4 linked regions of the Arabidopsis thaliana genome follow. The protein of the gene in region 4 interacts with the protein of the main gene of each other region in a pairwise test. Each region holds a gene or a part of one and is shown on either strand. Other genes may lie near its edges.

Region 1 (5,891 bases), on a different chromosome or scaffold from region 4:
TACCAACTTTATAGAGAACGCAAAAGAAAAGAGATTGATAAAGATGGCTAAAGGGTTTTCTTCGAGAGACTTGTTAATTCTATATACATATATTTCTGCTTTTTTACGTCTAAGCTTTTTCATCTTTTGATCTTTCTTATCTTTTTGGCTCTCGCTTTTTGCTTTTTTCTCTGGGCATAGTACGAAGCTCTCTCTAAATTCTTTTGCTTAGCGAGGAAGGTGACAGTGGAGAAGAAAGACGAAAAGAGAAGACCACAAATATCCAAAAAGTTCTCAAACGGTTTTTTTAAGGATTTTTTTTTTCATATCAGATCCGTCAATTTTAGGATAACATCCAACAAACGATACCGTTTCGGGGTCTCAAATTTTTAATGTGAAAAAAAATGGCGCTAAAAGTTTAACAAAATCGCGCTAACAAATTTTCGAAAGAGGAAGCAATACGACATCGTATAATGCCCGTGCTATCTTTCGAAAACGGTGGCGTTTAATCTCAAACGTAATATGCCATCTTTAAAACCAGAATGATGCGTCGTCGTATATGTAAATGATAACAAAGCAGCTTAAACGACGCTGTTTAGAAAGGAAGACAAAATTATATCTTCCTTGGAACACATTTTATATCCATCCACAAGTCCCCCCAACACATGATGCTAAACTATAAATTGCAATCAAAAGTTAATATTTACAGACAGCTTTCTCAGATTCAAACCTCCATTTCTATCTTATAAACAAATTTTTGTATTCCAAGGCGACTCAGAGAGAAGAAAACGAGCTTGTTTCCACTTTCATTCACTCCACCACAACACACCACATTGGGCCTAAGAACCATTCTGCAATCCCACGAGGCTTTTTCCCGGTAACTACAAAAGAAGATTGGCGGATGTTTGCTTCAGGTCAATGATTATGATGATTGTTTGGTTCATATAGGACTTGCTTTAGACACCTGCGCCGTCGTTTCCGAACCAAAAACTGTTAAGTGACCTCCCTAAACAATCTATGGTCGATAAAAAGGAAACTCTGAAATAACCTCAGAAGTCACTAATAGAATGAAAACTTCTTTCTCATTTGAGGATTTTTCGTAGTGTTTCAACTATGTATTCATGTTCAGACCGCAATTCGTTCAAACCTTTCTCGAATGCTCTCAACATTGCGTTTATCTTAAAAGTGAGCATACGGTTTGAGTTTTTCTTATCTAAATAGAGTTAGTTAGCTATAAATATTGTGGTTTGCTTCGGTTTATATTCCCACCCCTAGTTTATCTGATGCATGCATTTACAGCTTACTATAAAACTCCTTGTATGTGTCAGACATGACTTCCTAATTTAGATGTTCATCAAGAGAATTGTATACCTGATTTTTCGACACTGTGGCGGAGGCCCAGTCTTGTTGAGGACCTTGAGGTTGCCTTGGAACAGTTTCATAGTTGACATAAGTAATCCTTCTGGTGTCTTCTTGCCTACTCACAATGTTTTGAGGGGGTAACTCCCGCAAAACCCATAAAACGAAAGCCAATGGGACGGTGGAACCTTTAAAAAGCGTTCTTATCAGTAACCCTGCATTTGAAGGTCTTCAAAACAACAAAACGAAAGAAAAAAATCTTCACCTATGAAATAGTATATGATCAGAAGAACCAATGCTTTGATGCCGTGTAATTTGCTTGGGTTCCAATGATAAAAGAGCTGAGATCAAAGATTGGTTTTGGTTAAATGTATCGACGAATGTTAGGTTTCGGTTTACAGACATACTTTTTTGAGTGATAATGACTTACTGGAATGTGTGTGAGAAGAGCGATTAAAGAGCTAACAGTGAAGCAAACAACTGAGACTCCTGCTAGACCCGATACCTATAAATGGTTAAAATGTACTTTCAGGGTAAGGATTCGACTGACATGTGCAAAGAAAGAAAAGCTTGTTGAGCCAAAGAATCATTAGTTACCTTTCGCATCTCTGATGAAACTTGTTCAGACCGCACCTTTCTTAGATTAAAGAGCAGACGCAGGCCTAAAGAACATAAAAGAGTTTGTGAATATACGCTGTTCAATCATAGCAATAAGCCAGTAAACCACTGACCAAAACATCTCACGAATTGCTAGAAGAAAAATATGAATAGCTGAAACCAGAAAAGAACTTAAGAAATCACTTACCATAGAAGCAGATTCCTCCTCCAGTGATTAGGATTATTGCAGCAAAAATATCGACATACACCTATATAAGGAAGTGAGTTTATCATAAAACCAGAAAAAATATAGACAAAAGTCTTCTATTTCTCGAGCTTAAGAACTTAGTGAAAGAGGAAATATCAATGTGCAGAGGAATACCACATACCTCAGCCAATAATGAAGAATTCATAGGATTCTTTCCGGAAGCGATCCAGATAAGGATTGCAAATGATATCATTAAGATGAACACAAGAATAATTGCCTAGCAAAAAAGATAAACATTTTTATAAAGATCATAGAAATGACTTGGCTAGAGGTTAATGCACAAAACTGAAAGTATCCCATACCGCAACAACAAACTTCTGCCGGGTTCCAACATGAATACCATGGAAAGAGCAACACTTTCTACGATCACTTGCATTCGAAGAACCTGGCTTGCTCTTGCTTTTTTCAAGCAACACTTGTTGGATGCTATTTTCTTCATCATCATCATCATCCTCCTCTCCATTTCCCTGATGGCAAACATCTACCCTATAACATGAAGAAGCATCATTGTCTTATCTCAGATCATTATTAAGATAAAATAATCAGGGACAACACAATATGATCAGAGTATTGAGAATATACATACCAGAAAGAGAGAAGCAGGAGAAAAGTTGCCAGAAACAGAATTTTGGGAAAGGCTGCAAGTACAATTTGATTCATCAGGGAATTAACTATAAGACAAATCAATGAAAAACATACACAAACCTTCACAAAGGAATGAAATATTTACCCATGAGTAGAAAACCTAATGCGTTGGACCAATGATGCCACCTTGTGCAAGTCGCTATAACCGCAGCCACGAAATAAATAACAGAACCTGCCAATATATACGAATAGAGACCTTACTCACTGGCTAAAACTTCCCCCAATTATAATTGTTCCTGAACAACAAATGACTGAGGATTTACCAGTGTTTGAAGAAGCAATCATAAGATGAAGTACCTGCAATTTTCATGATGGATGTGTCAGATACACGCCATGAAAAGTAACAATAACTGTAACCATATAACAATAACATAGAGCCTAAATTGGTTGGGATGAGAAGAAATACTTTTTGCCGAGTCCATCCAACTTGTTTATTCCGCCTGTGAAATCGAGATAACTGAAAGAAGTAGGCAGCCAAGATAAATCTTATAAGCCAAACCCCACAAAAAAAGAAGAGAATAAGACTTTTTTTTTATTACTTCACCGTCTAAAACTACATAGGAACCTTTGAAAAGAACATCTTAATCTACACACATAGCACTTAAAAAAGAAAAAAAGATTCTACTTTCTAATGCTAATAATTCATATCATATTCAGATTCCCTGAATCCAAATCTCTCATTCTACACAAACACACTTCAGCTCCGTGAGTTATTCATAGAGTTGACCTTTAAACTTAATGGTCAACCACATGAACAACAGACACACAACTCTAAAGACTGAAATCAACCAATTCATTAAATTCAACATCAAGAATCAATAATCTCACATCTCGTTTAATCAATAAGCACAATGCTTCACCTGTCCGAACAGGCCTTAACGGTCACACACAATCTAGCATTCACAAATCAAGACTGATTTTTTCTTTTTCTTTCAGGAAATCAGAAGAACCAAGAATCAGAACCTGAAGGAATGCGATGAAAGCAAGAGCGGCATCGATAAAAGCCAAACAGAGATTGACGGCGATGAAGCTAGGAGCATAGCATTTATCCTTGGTTGATTCGAAAAGAGTCGCTAAGATCTTCATCGTGAATCCGCTCTTTTCTTCTCGATCCTCCCCAAGAGATCGAATGCCTAGATTTTAGGTTTGTAAGAGAGAGAGGATCAAAGAACACCACCGAGACAGATGGTTGTAGGAGATGGGTTGGGTCTGGTCTGAGAGACAAAAATAAAAATTATTTTTTATATTTATATATTTCCTGGACAACACAATATACTATCTACTAAATTTAATTGCTACAAGTGGTACGGCACACTAGAATATACAACAATTACTGCCATAAATTAATTAATTAATTACTCTTGGCTTAAAAGAATTATTAAGTAATCAATATCTCTTTAACTAAAATTAATTATTAATTATTGTTAGAAGATGTAAAATGAGGGTTTTTTGTAAAAATCAGAACTAAACGAGTTATTTTTGCAAAACAGAGACACCTCTTTTCTGCAACTCTCTTCTCCGACCATGCTCAGGTACATAATCCGATTTCTTTTGTATAGTTTGTGTTCTGCAATAGACTCAAGCTTCTTTAGTTTCCAATTTCTCTAGATTTTCTGCATTTCTTTCAAATTGGATCAACAAAGACGATGATTTGACAACTCCTTTGCCTTAAAACCTTACCAAAGTGAGTCCTAAACTCACAAACAATTCAGGGATTACTAATCAAACTTTGACAATTCCAGTGACTACAAATTTACTTGTCATTGATGGTAGACTATAGAGTTTGAGAAAATGCATGTAGCAAGCAAAATTAAATCACTTTGTATTCAGAAATGAATTTGAATAAGTACATTAGTTTGGTATGATCTTTGTTCTACAGCAAATACATTACATGTTTGAAGGAATATCCTAAAGAATGAAAAAATCTAAAGGGAAAAAAATGAATCTGTTCTTATTGTGTGTTCAGTTGCTTTGATGGACTTAAAAATCGACAAGAAAGATTATATATCTGCACACTTTGTAGGTGCATACCCGAGCCTAGACCTCTTTGTATCATAGAGTATATGAAAATTCTGCTGCTGGTAGTTTCCAATGATTGAAAATGCTGATTTGGGAGTTCCTAGCATTGCCAAGCAAACCAAATCCTCATTCAACCATATGAAAGAATTCTCTGTCGGGAAGTTCCAAACAGCGCCATCTGCAAAAGCAATCCCAAGCTCTGGCAGCTGAACGTTATGAATGCCAGAGACGTTGAAGCAAGGATCTAGGATTGGAAAATCTCTATAGACCGGATACTTCCCTTTAGCTTTCTCAGCAATCTTGTTCTTGATGAATTCATATGCAGGTTCTGCGAAGTAACTTAAGGTTGTACCTGAATCAATGATCGTCCCTCCAGCTCCATCTGATGAGATATTCCATGTTTCTTCAGGTATGTTTAGAACTTCTCCCGCGACTAGAATGGATTTGATTTGTACGTAGTAAAATGTGTCGACGAGGTTTTCTTTCCCAGCGACAAAAGAAGTGAAGTTCAGATTCGGGTGACTTAACAAATCCTTGTCTTCTCCGAAAATCAGTTTGCTACTAACGTTGGTATCGCTGTTTCTGTCGACAAGGCAATAAGAGAAGGAATGACCATAAAGAGACTGAAGCTGAGAGGAAAACGAAAGCGGGCCTCTTCCTAAACCAAGCAAGCCTGCAGCACCATGGAAGAGACCTCGGTTCCAATGACCGCAACCGAACATCATATTTTCAACATTATACAACTCCGAGCTCCCTCCATTTGTCGTGAGGTTAACCGTGAAAGTCTCTACTGCAAAATCTCCGGTAGTGTTGGAGCTATCCCCATACCAGTAGTAGTAAGGGCATGATTGGTTATCTGATTTGCAGGGCATTGGAGGGTCAGGTGATGAGACTAGGTTGCATCTTTGGTCATTGCAAGTTATGTTCTTGTAAGAAGCAGAGGCTTTAGGGTCATAAAACGCACCGTTTTGCTGGAAACAGTCGTAGCAAGGCAAGCATTGAATCCAGTTTAAGTCACTCCCTG
Region 2 (5,720 bases), on a different chromosome or scaffold from region 4:
ATACCCTATCATTAAAACTCAAAAGCCAGTTCTTTATGGATATGTTACTTTTCTCTTCTTTCAGTTCAAGCTTGAACGCAAAAGAGGAGAAGAGGCCGTGGATTTTAAGAGCAAAGGAACTTTCAATTCAAGCTGGCAACAAGCAGACCTCTGAGGAGAACAATACACTACCGCAAAGACTCATATATATAAGCTGTGGTTGGGAAAGCTTTAAAGAGGTACTAGAGACAAACACTGGTATCAAACAATGCTGCCGCTTTCGTTCATTCTAACTTTGAAACAATGGCTTAGGACTGCAAGTCGTTATTATCTAGCAGAGCGTGGGAGTTGGAAAAAGCCCATGGCTTCAACTTCTTTCCCGGAACCGACAGGTATTATAGAAACATTTACTTCCATTTTATACTGCACAAATATTATTCATGCTTATTTTACAATTTGGTTTTCAGCATTGAAGTTTTGGCCGTATTCAAAAGAAGGGTTGCGAGCAAGAAAAAGAAGAAATCGGGAATAAAAAAAGTGGGAATTAAGAAAGTGCGTGCTAAGTCACAGGACTCTTATTAGTTAATGTCTGTAACACTTGAACTTCAGAGGTTTAGGAGACCATCTAATAGATGGAAACAGTTTTGCTCTGTTCCTGTTGATAAGGAGATATGAGTCTCTCTTTTTGTGTCATTGCAATATTTATCTTATCAACTTCTGTTGGATATGAAGAAAAAGTGCAAAACTGGACAGATACATCTTTAAGAATGAGAAGAAAAACACAAGGCTGCAAGCGATTTCTTACAACAAGCAAGTAGCTCTTTCAATGTGTCTTTCCACCTTTGGATTTTTCCAAGAGAGGAAAGGCTTGTAGAATGTTGTATGCCCTTAGGTCCTGTCTGGTTAAGATCCCTACCACAGGACACATCTGCAAAAAAATTGATTCGCATTGGAAGGAAGTTAGTGTTGTTTAGAGGCTTTAGCAAGAATGGGAGTAAAAGAGAGTTAAGGCATATAAACTCACTCCTGAGGCTTGAATCTTGGGAACAATAAGCAAATGCCGGAGTCCCACTTGCCGGAAAAGTACTAAAGCCTTGGCCACTGACATGTTCTCCATGACTGTGTAAGGTGTTGTGTTGGTGAGAGGATGAAGATCGACATACATTTCCATTTCAGCGCTTGTGATGGCCACGTCGTCAAAGTTGTCTTCTCTTTCAGCCAATTCATCCCATGGAAACTTTTCTCTGACCTCCCACTCCTCTGTTCTTCTTTTCTCTGTCAAGAACCATCTCTTTTTCAGAACTTTAACGAGGTGCGCTCTCAAGATCAACCCGTGGAGTTCTGTAGCCCCAGTTGCTAGACCCACTTGAGGTACTTCTGCTTCATCTAAAACAGGGAATGCATTATGCGTCGTGTTCTTTAGCACATCAACTATATTTGAAACCTTTTCAACACCTTGCAGGGTTACAACCGGGGGCTTAGCATCACCAAGCTCACCAACGGTGAGGTTCCTCATCCACGGCTCTGGATTTGCTTCTAAGAAAGGTAAGCCCTTTAGATGCAAGATGATGTCATATATACTCGGGTTAAAGCTGTCTCCCACAGTTTTGGCTATCAGAAGCACGATCATCGTTATAGGAAGCAAAAGAAGGTTGTTGGTGAGTTCAAGGAATATAACACAGAGTGACACAGTCATTCTCATCGATCCAGCCATGAGTGCAGCTGCACCAAGGACAGCATAAAGCCCTTGGTCAATACTTGTGTATGATCCCATTGCAGCGCCAAGCATTCGGCCATATGCAGCACCCATGAGGATGATGGGGAGGAAGAGACCAGACGGTGTTGCAATACCAAATGTGAAAAGCCCCAAGATGCAGTATAGCACAAAGAATATCCAAAGGGAACCCATACCAAACTCATTGGGAGTGTTGGAAGAGAAAAGGTTTCTGACAGCATCATCGTTGGTGGTGAGAAGCAGAGTAGCTAGATCATTGTAGTAACCTTTAGGGCAATGGAACTGTTTGAAGTTACCCGATCTTCCATTCGTCGGGCATATCTCATCTATCGAGGGGTCACAAGGCTTGCATTTCGCTAAGAAAGGAAGGCCATAAAGGCAAACAGATGTAAAGAGTGATACTGTAAGACTGAGAAGCACCTTATGGATCTTACCCTTCCTGCAAAATGACCAAACAAAGTAAGTAACTAGCTTAACGGGTTTTGACTCATTGAATAGCTAACACTTACTCATTGATGAGATTGTAAAGCCTGAGAACTTTATGCAGAAGATGATTGTACAGGCTCCCAAGAATTCCACCGATTACACCAATCAACATGACAGGGATTATATCAGTTACATGGTAAGTATAAGTTACATGACTCACATCAAACATGATTAGCCCTCCTTTTCCAAACAACCCACACTTCCCTGAATTGCAGATCTCTATGAACTCTCTTAGAACAACCACAACAACCGCTGTGCTGAAGAAAGTCCGCCACAATAAGGCACTTCTCCACCAAGTAGCAACTTCCTCGAGGGCGAAAAGTACACCTCCAACAGGTGACCTGAAGGCTGCACACACTCCTGCAGCTGAGCCACATGTAATCAGATCCCTGCGGTCTCTATCGTTGTTGAAGTAACGAAGCCACCGCCACTTGATACGGTGGTTGTCTGTTCCACCTTGTCCAAGCAAAGAAGCTATGCAGCTTCCAATGTGAACTAGAGGACCCTCTTTACCTAGATCAAGTCCAGCTGCAACCGCTCCAATGCTTCCAACAATCTATCAAACCCCGCTAAACCGTGAGTCAAAATTCAAATTCATACATACTAATCATTACAAATCTCCAAATTCAGAAACAAACCTTAACGATCATAGTAGTAGCACCAAACATGTTGGGAGTATCTACACCATTAAGATAAGCTTTGATCTCAGGGATTCCAGGTCCAGCCGCCGTAGGAGCAAAGCACACACAAAGCACAGACGCCACCAACGTCAGTCCCAAATTCGCCCCAACAAGCACCATCAGACCTGTAACATATCTGTTTCCACCACAAGACACTCTCATCCATCAATCATCATACACTAAAAATAAAAGGTAACAAAAACTTTTTGATCTTGAATATTTTTGATAGTGATGATTTACCTTTCTTGAGTGAGGAAGTGACCAACGGCTAAAAGCTTATAGCCGGCGATGTTTTCAACAGCTAAGTTGATGAGAGTAGCGATTAAACCAGTGAAAAGACCAACAAGACAAGCTAACGTCCATTTCAAGAACACGTATTGAAGTACTTGTGCCTTTGATCTTTTTCTCCAATCATGCTTAAACAGATCGTTCTCGTTTATTCTGTCAATATTTAGATTAAAGATTAAAAGAAGACCCCTGAATTCAAAATTATGCAGAGAAGAAGAAGAAGAAGAACATACTCATAGTCCAAGCTTTCGATATGGGAAACTTTGGCACCAACCAAAGCAAGTGGAGTTGAAGAAAGTGTTCGATTAGCCTTAACTAGAGGTTGGTTAAGTGTGTTGCTCTCTGGGTCGCCTCCTTCTCCATTGTAATTACTATTACCACCAATCTGGTTTAAATCTTCTTCCACCATCTCTCTGTCTTTGTTCACATAAAGATGAAACTCTGGCTTTTGGTCGGAACCTCTGCAACAGAACCTTTTTAAGGTTCTTACAGAGCTTTCTCTGTTAACAAAGCACTTCTTGGTGGTTGGTTATTTCTTTAAAAAATTATTATAATTATTTCATGCAAATTGGTTTGCCGACTTTTGTTTTTTATTTAATTTTCTTTTATAAGTTGTAAATGTCTACATATTTATATACGTATCTATATTTGTGTATATGAATAGTGTCTAATTTTGGCGAGACGACGCTTATGCTTGTGAGAGGGTAACAGACAGAAAACTATGTAATCCATACATATGCTAAACTACAAGACGAGACAATGATTGACCATTTTAATATTATGTGTACAATAAATAACAACCAAAGGTTCTAATCAAATTGCGAATTTTTTATTATAAATAAAAATTGTGAATTTGTATTTGTATAACGTAGGGATAAGATTTTTCTATGTGGCCTTGTATAGTGATTCATTTGTTTGATATAGGAGGCCGAGTAAACTATCGGATTTGTTTGAAAGTAGAACTATTAAAATCTAGGTTTAAAATGTCTTATAGCGATACGGTTTCATATTGTTGCGTCCTAGCTAATGGTCTAAATTGATACCAAAAAAGACTTATAGTTTTGTACATATCATCAAGAAAATCAAATAACAAGAAAACAATATAATCATCCAGTTGGTGTTGTTTTGGTTGAAATTGACAAATGTCGCTCAGTGGATTGAAGGTTAGTTCCAACTCAGCCCTTACATTGGACAGATCAGCAGTACTTTTCAATACGCCGTATCTTCTGGAGATCTAAGACCATCCCCATTGTATAAAAATAACAGTGTCTTTAATTTTTTTTTTAAAAAAAAAAAAAAAAATGGTACAGTGGGAGACCATCCCTATTGCATAAAAAAATAACAGTGTCTTTAAATTTTTAAAAGAAAAAGAAAAAAAAAAAAGAAAATGGTACAGTGGGAGACCTGTGTCTTTCATATCTCTATAGAGACATTTTTGTATCTTTAAAGACATCATACAGAACTAATAAATGACTCAAAATTAGAATAATATTAATTTTTATAATAATTATTGTAAAGACATTTCTAGAGAATCACCAATGTGGATGCTCTAATGGTCACAATCACAAAAACTCCAACTCTTGAAGTGATCAAACAAACACTTTTATACAACTTGTTCTTCTATAATCTTTTGAAGTTTGCAAATCTTTAGTTTATACGAGAATTTTTGTTTCCAAGAGAGTAATCGTAATATTGAGAACTTAATCATTGCATGCATATACATTATATAAACCATAAAAGAGATACAAAGTTATTGTCATATAGAAAAACAACAACACAAAGGAAAACGATGTATGTGAAAACTAGGACCATGAGATTGGTTCACGTAAGAAGCCAATAATATAAACACGTGGTAAGTACCTCACCACGTGATTAATAGGAAGAAAGAGTCTATTGAACGGCGATCTTGTCCCTCTCTCTCTCTCTCTCTGGTCCCAGGAATACTTGTCCTATCGAAGACCAGATCTGATCCAATTGGTTGTCTTTGTATCCGACACGTGTCCCCTCGTGGTTCATATGATTTTAAAACAATTAATATTGAAAATTTTATATTAGAGATTTACCAAATGGTAGAACTAGAAACTGTGAAAACAAACAAGAGCGCTATGTGGCCTATTTTTATTATTTTGCAGTAAACCTGAAACATTCTGTTAATATATAAAACTATTATTAAAGTGTCTTTACTTTTTTTCTATAATTTTTTTTTAATTGACATTGTATTTTGGACGACGGAAAACTGACTAATTTGTGTTTCGTATTTACATACGCTTTATTTCTAATAAATTACATTGGAGGAGTAAATAATAACAAATAACACATCAATAGGGAAGAAAATGGAGATATATGTATATATCATCAAATTAACATCTAAATTATATATATAGCTCACTATCACGATGTGTTTCGTATTTACGTACGCTTTATTTATATGGTATTTTACAAGAAAAACAATTTTAGAAACTTTCGTGAAATGTGTACGCAAAAGCAAATAATTTGGATAAGAATAAGATTATTAATATGTGGGAGAGTAATACGATGATAAACAATGAATA
Region 3 (4,575 bases), on a different chromosome or scaffold from region 4:
CCTCCTCTTGACCTTGTTCTATACGCAGACATTGTTAATGCTCTTACGAGGAATAAAGAGTTCGATGAGATAGATCGTCTTATTGGTGAAATTGATGGAATTGATCAAAGAAGTGATGATAAGGCTTTAGCTAAGTTGATTAGGGCTGTGGTTGGAGCTGAGAGGAGAGAGTCGGTGGTTAGGGTTTATACCTTGATGAGGGAAAGTGGTTGGGGGTCTGAGTCATGGGAGGCTGATGAGTATGTCGCTGAGGTTTTGAGTAAGGGTCTCTTGAGACTAGGAGAGCCAGACTTGGCTTCTCAAGTCTCACTCAAATCTTCAATTCTAAAACCTTGAATTTTCGGGTTTTCGGTTTGGTTTGGTTCGGTTTTTGATTAAGTTCATACACTTTTGGCAAAGATTGCACTATATTCTGTTGCTATGGTTAGTTCTTTCGATTTGGTTCGAGCTGAAATCAATTCGGGTAGCGAAAAATTTACGAAATGGTTCATTGCGATATGCGAATTGGATCGGAAGTAAATAGTTTATGCATTGAAATGTTGTGGCGTTTACAATGATCTGTTTTGAAGATTTTAGACATATGGGGTAAAAAATTGTTTCTTTGATTGTTGTAACCCTTGAGCACTGACTCTTACGGGGCAGAAACTCTTGGATTCGAAATGACTTCAAGAAATGAGTTTGTATTTGATTTTGACGATTAATGCAAAGAGGCCATAAGAAGGAAGATGCAGGAGTGCCACCAACAAATACCTGCAGATGCATGAATTAAAATATTAAGGATAGGCGTAATCATTCTAAGGAATGAAACATTATGATATAAACCAATCCTGACTAGTGTCTAGTATGTAAATGTTTTCAAGGCTTACCACACTGGAGCCATGTCTAATGACAGGTTGAGAAATGGATATGGCCACCTAAGTCAATCGAGGAATACAAGTGTAAGATTAATCAAGACGGTAAGTGTAACATACAAAAGATGACAGAGAAGAGTTTTACCCAACGGAGATAAACATGTGGAGAATCCACTGGAAAAGAACGAAACATCCTGTCCATAAGATGAAGTAAGAGAACCTGAACAATGGAAATTTCTGCAAAGCAACATCACAAAAAGACCTCAGGTTCAACACATTAATGAAAACGAAAACTCGTCGTAAATGCAGAGGAAAGAATTGTTTTACCAGACGGTTTAGAAACGTGTCAATAAGCAGCAAAACGAGGTTGCTTGTGTGCAAATTCACAGTCATCTGAAAACACAGAATTTTGACACTAGAGAAGTTGAGACTAAGTTCAAGAGGGTCAAGTGCAACGTAGAAAGTGCCATCAGCAGTGTACAAGCTTTAACTAATATACGGTAAATGGCGCGAAAACTTACGAAACTCATCTCATAGTCCTGTAAAGACAGAAACGGGAAAATCACGGTCCAATATATACTGTCTGTAAGCACAGCTGCTCCAGCACCCATCTGTTTTTCAACAAACCAAAACACACAAGTATCAGTGATCATATATACACTAATGAAACAAGAAATCTGAAAGTTGCAAACTATACATCATAATAACCAAAGGAATCTGTCTACCTGATATATAATCTGGAAGAGATGAACATATGACTTTAGTGCTTCCGAACCAGAAGTTTTTCTCTTCTCGAACGAAACCATGTTGTCACCATCTATAAGAGGCGAACGAAACCCGTTCTCTGCATCGATTCCTACTTGATCAGCGATAAGTCCAGTGTTCCCTTGCTTCTTGTATTGTAAACATCCATAAATTGAAAGCAATGATCCCATCTACACAACACACAAGTGACAACAAACATTCAAACAAACTTGACTATAACCATATACATATTCACAACATCAAAAATCAAAACATACCCCGAAGTAGATTGCTATCAAAGTGAATGTCCACCTACCAATCAAAACCTCAATCATATCAGTCTCAAAACATCAAAGATATTCCCTTTCCACACAATAAAGCAGAGATCTTTAAAGAGAACTTACTGAGTATAATAGTAGTAAATACGCCATCCACGATTAGCAAACCGGGCAATATTGTTAGCAAGAAGGAAACAAAACCCGAGAACCCGAAAACCCAACAACCAACCCGGATGGATTCGTTCAAAACAAGGTCTCCAAACATCATCAATGCACAAAACATCATTACCATTAAGTGATGGTTGAGTTTGAACTGAACTATCTTCATACTTCCATAAGACTAATAAAGAAACAATCATTGGAACTATTACCCATATAGCACATAGTAACACTCTCCAATTAAACCAGTAATCAAAGCTGGTGAATTCCAAAACATTCTCAAGATTCATTTTTTTTTTCTTGTTCTCTTGTTGATCCGTCTGAATATTCGGATCTTTTAGATCCGAAACTCAATGGGATCAACACCGGACTTGAAAACCCAGATCAAAAACTGTCTCTGCAGAGGAGTTAAAAGTAGCTTAATTGATTTACATATAGAGATATTAGTGTTAAGATTAAGTAGCTTTGATTCTTGATACTTACGTTATGTTAAGAGAAATGTAGAAGCTTGTCCTTGTTCTTGTTGTTGTGTGTGATGGAGAAGTCAAATTGAAACTTGGAAGGTGATGAGATATGAGATATGTATAAATCTGAAGAACAATCCAATGGCGGTGTCAGAGGCCCACTGGAATCGGAGAACACAGAGTGGAGACAAGGACAGGTGGGACCTTCTCCGTTTGTCCAACGCTTAGTTGCCAAACGACGTCGATTTGGTTTCGTGTGTATTTTACTTAAATAGGCCTAAATCACAAATCTCATATAAATGGAAAGATATCTACAAGCCCATTATTATTTTTAACTATTTGTAGTTAAGACTAAAATTGTTAAGTTTTTTTTCTTTTTTTGTTGGAGGAATTGCACAAAAAGAATAAGAAGTAATGGTTTATTGTATTTGGTTAAGATCTCAATTTTCTATGTAGTTAGTCAAAATATCATTAATGAATATAGATCCCAAAAGTTTTATGTATTTTTCTTTTAGTTATGTATGACTTTTCGAATGGTGATATACAAAACAAATGGAAAACCAAAATATAATGTATACAAAACTCTCATTACGTTTTTTTTTGTTTGTGTTTTGCCTAAAATTTCTGGTATTACAATACGACGGACCATATAGTCATTATGACGGTAAGGTAACAAATTCCAGAAAATTACAATACAACGGACCATACACATATTATCCCATATTACATCATACTAACCAGATATTTTGTAAACAACTAGTACTTTTTTTCTTTAGCATAGTCGATATAAAATTATTCTTTAGTGACTAAATGTACTTGTTGTGGACCTAATGGTCGTCTTCTCCTAACCGCAAACGCAATTACCATTCATATAGTATAACAGAAAATTTAACAATATATATAGATTCTTAATTAAAATGAAATTAGAGAATAACAAAAAAAAAATCTGATAAAGCAAGAAAACCTTCAATTTTTGTTTAGTCCAAAAGAAACCTTCAATTAAACCACAATATATATTACATGTCCAATTCTTCAATTAAAAGCACAAACATAATTTCATAAATAGCATAATTATATAGGTAGATATAATCAAGTTCGACTTGTTTATATTGCACGGTCTAAAGACGACCATGAGCAATCATCTCCAGCAAAGCAATCTCGTTCATCATAACTTCATCACATCCATGCATCACCATCCAGCTATCAGTCATCGGCTCATCAATCTCCATGGTCACACCACTTCCAGAACCAGACGCAGAACCAGAAGTAGACGCTGATCCGGAGGCCGACATAGCCGCCAATGACGGCATCTTGATCCTTCCATCTTCTAAACCCAAGTTATTCACACCATCCACAATATACTTACATTCACCCTCATCATACTCCGAGACCGCAACCATTACATTCTTACCTTTACCTCTCATGTTTCTTGGACCAATGTTTGCGTTTGCATTTGCGGTCATGAAAGGATCATCATTGTAGGTAACAGACCTAATGTAGTTCTGAAGAGTGTTGCTACCAAGTGAAAGGGAAATTTCATCTTTTCCTTTAGTCCTCCTCGAGTGTTGTCGACGTTTAGTCGCGTTCCAATGGTTCTTGATCGTATTTTCAGTGCGTCCCGGGAGTTTTCGAGCTATCTCAGCCCATCTGTTCCCAATCTCCTTATGGGCTTTTATCAGTATTATATCCTCTTCTTCAGTCCATCCATCTTTCTGTAACATACCACATAAAATATGCTTTATATGTAAATAATACATACAATATTAAACAAATATTTTTATTTTTTATATGTTTTTTTCTCTTTTATGTTTGTTGAATTATATGAGAGAATCCAAGTGACAATGACTTTAGTTTAAATGTCTTACCAATTGTGAAGTTTTGTCCGCAACAAGAAGACAAAATGCCTTAAAGAATTGTCATAGACATATATGTATATACAAACAAAAGTTTAAAGTATTCATGCATGAAATAAAACCGTATACATGTTGACAAGTGTGAAAAAAGTTTGTTAATATTCTCTTAGAAGATTCTCAATGTATCATGTAATGAATTTGAAAGTATCGAAGATGATATTTTGTT
Region 4 (5,244 bases):
ATAGATATACTCTTATTTGGGAATTCTGAAAATATCAAGGAAAATTCCTTATATTATATTTTCAACAACAAAAAAAAAACTTCCTTATATATATGTTCATACTAAGATAAGAATCAAGTAGAGTGGCTAAAATCAGGAATTTGATTGGTCAGAAAAGATTTTTTATCCTCACTCTATTGGTCATGTAAAATTAAAATCAACTTTGAAATTTATTGGTCATTTAGAAGAAATATATTAGGGAGAACTATATTAGGTACGTGATATATTTTGTTTTGGGAATTAATGTGAAAATACTTAAAAACAATTGTTATATTATAATATTTGTTTTAACAAAAAGAAAGAAAAAAACTTCTTTATAATTCTATTTAGAGTAAGATATATCAGAATAAAGTAACTGAAATTAAGAACTGATATTTTATCTGATTGTTAAGAAAAGATTTATTATCTTCTCCTAATTGAGATTTATAAGATATTTCAGTTATTATTAAATCATATTTATATGTGCAACATTTTAAGTTTATTTATTTCTTACCTCTATAATATTAATTAATATTGGTGAAAATAGTTTTAAAACAAAACTGGACGCGAAAACCCTCTTGGCCCAAAGGTTAATCAAGAGTTAATAAAGCCTTTACACCAAAGAAGTCTAAAGTTCGAATCCAAGATTATGCGATTTACTAACAAATTTGCAGATTAATGGAGTTTGATATTAAAAAATATTCAAATATTTTGATTAACTGATGTATATCTCAACGACAACTCAACTCCGTGAAGACATCGTCGCTCAATGACATTGCACCACTTTCAGATTGGGATCGAATCCAAGTGAAAGCAGGAGCTTTAGGTAAAGGAATGATGATAGTCTCACTGCCAAGCCAAATTATTACAGAGCTCATGGTTGGTCTCTTTGTTGAATTCTCTTGAACACACAACAAACCAATTTGGATCAACTTGATGATCTCATTTCTTGGATTCTCTATTAAGAACGGATCAATTATAATCTCAGGCTTTCCTTCAACCCATCTTTTCCATGCCTACACCAAAAACATAAGTTCTTACTTTCGGGATAAAGTTTTGAAGATAGAAAAACAAAAACTGATATGTGAAGAAGCTTAAGGTCGCCGGTTCGAGTAACGCTTGGAACGAAACTAATATTACATGCTGTGGTTTCGGTCCTGGGGGGATTACGGGCTTCGGCCCAAAACCTCCAGCTATTCAAAAAAAAAAAAAATTGTGAAGAAGCTTACAAAAGCTGCAAGTCCTTCTCCTTCGAAGCTATTGTTTCTTTCACCACTAATCATCTCTAGAAGCATAACACCGAAGCTATAAACGTCAGATTTAGCTGAGATTTGTCCATGATTCAAGTACTCAGGAGCCATATATCCACTGCATATATGCAAACCAATAGCATTAATTCATGGACTCTGTTTTCAAAACAGAGCATTTGAAATGTGTCATCAAATTTGATTGATATATTTCTTACCGGGTTCCAGCTATTCTTTTTGTTTCAGCTCGAGTCTCGTCGGAGTCGAACAACCTCGCAGTCCCGAAATCCGCAACTTTAGGGTTCATCTCAGCGTCTAAAAGTATGTTGCTTGCCTTCAAGTCTCTGTGAATAATCTTCAGCTGAGAATCTTCATGGAGATAGAGAAGACCTCGAGCAATGCCTTCTATAATTCTGAACCTCACCTCCCATGTAAGAAGAGAACGCTTATCTTCATCTGCAGAGTTCAAAGAAACATTTAGTTTGCTAAAAGTTCTAAATCTATCCAACTTGGCAGCTGTCTTTCGAAGGCTCACCAAAGATAAAGTGATCAAGACTTGAGTTGGGGACAAACTCGTAGACAAGAATCTCTTCATCTCCCTCATTACAGAACCCAAGAAGCTTAACAAGATTCTTATGTTGGAGTCTTGTCAAGAGTGAAACCTCATTCTTAAACTCCATATCTCCTTGTCCTGATCCTTTTGTTAGTCTCTTGACCGCTACCTCTTGCCCGTTTGGGAATGTCCCCTGAAACCCATTCTCAAGATATCTATTTACTCATAAAAGACCAATGTTGATCAAGAACTCATCATTAAGGAAAAAGTTTATTATTACCTTATAAACCGTACCAAATCCACCTTGGCCAAGCGTATTTTCAGAGGAGAAGTCATCAGTTGCCATTACGATCATACCAAGATCAAACCGTAACATGAATTGACCATCAGAATCAGAGTATTCTGCACTACCAACTAAAAAAACAAAAAATCCATAAGCCTTACTCTCTACATCATAAGCTTGATTGAAGCAAGTTACACTTACCATTATTTAATTTTCCCCTCCGTGCATAGACTTTGATAAAGCCAATAAACACCAAAAGATTAATGAAAGTAAACACCACAACTATTGCGATAATTCCGCCATACCCAATGCTTTTCCCTGCAAATTACCAACCCTTTGTCTAAGAATTAACCTCTTAATCATAATAACAATTTGGCACGAAAAGTTCATACCAAACCGCTTCATGTCACTTATGTAAACAATATTCCTCAAAATTGGCTCTTTTGAGCTCTAAATGAAAGCTAAAATAATTTGTGTTACCTTTTTTTACTGTTATGCAGCTCTCCTTTTCCTGAGCATGAGGTCGAGGAGGAGGCGCAGGAACTCTTGTTACATTATCAAAAGCATTATGGAAAGAATATAGATCCCACCTGAAATAACAGCTTGGAAGACTAGCCATGCCTCCTTTTCTTCCCATATAGTCTTTTCTAAAGTACATCACGCAATCTCCCAAACATTGCTTGCAATCTCGTGAACTTAAGTCGGGTGTGCATTGCATCAGCATGTAAACATCTGGAAACTCGGTGAAACCCGCTTTTTCGGCCTTATAGTACTTAAGCACCGAGGAACCTTCAGCTTTCGTGGCAGCCTCTAGGGTCCGATTAACCATTTCTTCCCACTGTTGTTTGAAAAGGGTTATGTTTTTAGATGACTCTATAGTATCTGGACTTGGCCATACAACAGGAGGTTTAAGCTGGACGCTCCCAAAAGTAGACTGGTTTGAGGAACGTACAAGACAAGTTACATCGTCATTGCCTCCCCATATGAACGAATCCCTACGGCTTCGACAATCTGTTAGTGTGTTCTGAGTCAATGATTGGACACAATTGTAACAAGCGTCTTGGTCGTAGCCTCTTGCGCAGCTGACAAGAGCGTAAACTTTGTCGGGATCTTGGCCGAGTGAAGCGTTGTAGAATCCGTCGTTGATGATGACTTTGTCAGCAAGAGTAGGGAACAGTTTCTGGCGATTCTGAGCGAAGGTGCTGCTGTTACCGTTGAAGGAGTTTCCGAAACATTTGACCGCGTTAACAACATGGAGTGTTTGAAGGACAAGTAGAAGAGAAGAAGAGAGGAATATCATCAAAGCAGAGCATTTTCCCATTTTTGTTTGTTAAAGATAACAACTTCTTTGGTTTTTTTTTTTTTGATGTACTACTTGAAGTAGTCTACTTCGTTACTGTTAAGTATAGTAATAAATTTTTGAGCTTTGTTTATATTTATATAGCCTACCAGCTTTGACATTTGAAAGGTTCCAAAAAGAAAACAAAATATGGCCTAATTTTCTTCGTTACTGTAAATAATAATCACAAGTTATCTTTCAATGGTAAGTTGGTTGATAATAATCAAATGTAATAACTAGTAAAAAAATGAAACATGGCAGTTTTTTTTCCCCGGCAATATTATCATAAACAGTTTTGCATAATACATGAACCATTCACATACGACCATTGACATAAACAGAGACTTTTATATAACGAGAAACATGTCAGTGAAAAATAGTTAACAATGAAATGATAAGTCGCTGAATTACTAAAAATATAGAGATTATATAAGTTACGTTTTCGATTTGTGTTGGGAAAAATCTATTTTACAATGGTTCCTCTGTTTTTTAAGAAGTGTTGTTTAAGCAAAAACAAATAGTTTCATTTTATTTGTTGTTTTCAATTTTTAATGGAAATTTTATTATTTTTGACTCTTAGAAATTCTACAAAACTTTTTTTTCAATTTGTTGAATTGTTTTTAAATAGATAATTAACTATATTAAAAGATAATAATAAAAAACGAAATAATTTCATTTGTGCCAAAACCTTGAAACTTAAACTACAAATAAATGACAATAGAGGGAGTAACAAATTAAATAATATACTTATAATCATTTCTAGGAAGATGTACAGACTCATTCACAATCAACTTCTTAGTCAAAAATTATATGTAATAGTAAAATACTAAAATGTGGAAAAGATAGTGATAGAAAAACACAAATAAATGAAATGTTTGGTATTACCTGTGAGACGTTAACCCATATTAAGAACTTTTGGTCCCCAGTCCCCACAAAACCTTGAAAAAACGCGTCTTTGTTAACTTCCAAACTGAGAGAAAATGCGTATTGGTTGATTTTTCAAAGATTCCAAAAATGGCTACCCACAATATAGAGATAATAGCAAAACAAATTCTTTTTCTTTCGTGATTGATTTTATGAATAGCTTCTTGGACGATTCCGCAATAGCAACTCTTCCACCAATTCACGGATCCACAATATACGGTTCTACATACAGTTATACATTATATATTTATATTTATTATAAATTTATGAAGATGCAGATTCTGACAACAACGAGCTGATAAACATCATGGAGCTGTTGGAAATTAGGAAGCTGCATCAAATCTGTTAGTTTATAATTGAGTTTGGTCTATAAGTTATAATTATGTTGTATTAAAAGGTGTTTGTTAGAGTCGTGACTTTTAGATTAGGTTGTGTCGTTTATCTTAGAGAGAAAGAGACACAACTCTTTACTTATTGTGTCTATTTGTTTTCTATTTAAACTTTTTGTATCGTGATGAAACGAACAAGTTCTCCATTCAATAAAAGTCAGTTTCTCTTTTGCTTTGTGTATCTCATAAGAAACAGAACAACAAGTAAACACTTGTTTTTTCTTTGTAACAAGAGGCTTCAATTTCCAACATGGTATCAGAGCCCTACTGATTCAAGGGCCAAACATTTCAAGTAAAGAGTTTAATAAACACGAGAGAGTTATGGAGATGGTGTCACACATTGTGACTCCAATCTTCAACAAAGAGAATTATGGTTTTTGGCGCATCAAGATGAAAACAATTTTCCAGACAAAGAAACTGTGGGAAATTGTTGACGAAGGAGTTCCAAAACCACCCGCAGAAGGAGATCATAGCCCTGAAGCAGTGCAACA

The links.
Region 1: the proteins of CRK40 (region 4) and Cand3 interact in a protein complementation assay, tested with the Arabidopsis thaliana proteins (one large-scale study listed by BioGRID).
Region 2: the proteins of CRK40 (region 4) and CLC-B interact in a protein complementation assay, tested with the Arabidopsis thaliana proteins (one large-scale study listed by BioGRID).
Region 3: the proteins of CRK40 (region 4) and AT3G27770 interact in a protein complementation assay, tested with the Arabidopsis thaliana proteins (one large-scale study listed by BioGRID).

The regions. Positions count from the first base shown.
Region 1 is NC_003074.8:21,837,377-21,843,267, reverse strand, and holds Cand3 (tobamovirus multiplication protein), read right to left. Parts: upstream 4,084-5,891; 5' UTR 3,935-4,083; coding exon 3,812-3,934; intron 3,334-3,811; coding exon of another isoform or gene 3,306-3,333; coding exon 3,255-3,305; exon of another isoform or gene 3,146-3,254; coding exon 3,112-3,145; intron 3,021-3,111; coding exon 2,934-3,020; intron 2,842-2,933; coding exon 2,790-2,841; intron 2,690-2,789; coding exon 2,506-2,689; intron 2,421-2,505; coding exon 2,325-2,420; intron 2,205-2,324; coding exon 2,144-2,204; intron 2,001-2,143; coding exon 1,936-2,000; intron 1,844-1,935; coding exon 1,769-1,843; intron 1,680-1,768; coding exon 1,604-1,679; intron 1,527-1,603; coding exon 1,351-1,526; intron 944-1,350; coding exon of another isoform or gene 920-943; exon of another isoform or gene 861-919; coding exon 819-860; 3' UTR 505-818; downstream 1-504. Other genes in the region: AT3G59080 (Eukaryotic aspartyl protease family protein), read right to left, coding at 4,849-5,891.
Region 2 is NC_003074.8:10,022,004-10,027,723, reverse strand, and holds CLC-B (chloride channel B), read right to left. Parts: upstream 3,794-5,720; 5' UTR 3,578-3,793; coding exon 3,402-3,577; intron 3,322-3,401; coding exon 3,121-3,321; intron 3,017-3,120; coding exon 2,839-3,016; intron 2,757-2,838; coding exon 2,224-2,756; intron 2,154-2,223; coding exon 1,004-2,153; intron 908-1,003; coding exon 803-907; 3' UTR 562-802; downstream 1-561. Other genes in the region: AT3G27180 (S-adenosyl-L-methionine-dependent methyltransferases superfamily protein), read left to right, coding at 65-218, 292-371, 447-561. UniProt on the Arabidopsis thaliana protein: Voltage-gated chloride channel.
Region 3 is NC_003074.8:10,285,153-10,289,727, forward strand, and holds AT3G27770 (plant/protein), read right to left. Parts: upstream 2,780-4,575; 5' UTR 2,516-2,779; intron 2,430-2,515; 5' UTR 2,323-2,429; coding exon 2,000-2,322; intron 1,908-1,999; coding exon 1,874-1,907; intron 1,787-1,873; coding exon 1,577-1,786; intron 1,463-1,576; coding exon 1,373-1,462; intron 1,245-1,372; coding exon 1,179-1,244; intron 1,089-1,178; coding exon 997-1,088; intron 915-996; coding exon 867-914; intron 751-866; coding exon 666-750; 3' UTR 505-665; downstream 1-504. Other genes in the region: EMB3123 (PPR containing protein), read left to right, coding at 1-336; MYB118 (myb domain protein 118), read right to left, coding at 3,615-4,208.
Region 4 is NC_003075.7:2,288,223-2,293,466, reverse strand, and holds CRK40 (cysteine-rich RLK (RECEPTOR-like protein kinase) 40), read right to left. Parts: upstream 3,566-5,244; 5' UTR 3,423-3,565; coding exon 2,582-3,422; intron 2,420-2,581; coding exon 2,303-2,419; intron 2,233-2,302; coding exon 2,099-2,232; intron 2,012-2,098; coding exon 1,801-2,011; intron 1,722-1,800; coding exon 1,484-1,721; intron 1,387-1,483; coding exon 1,248-1,386; coding exon of another isoform or gene 1,212-1,247; exon of another isoform or gene 1,035-1,211; coding exon 750-1,034; 3' UTR 517-749; downstream 1-516.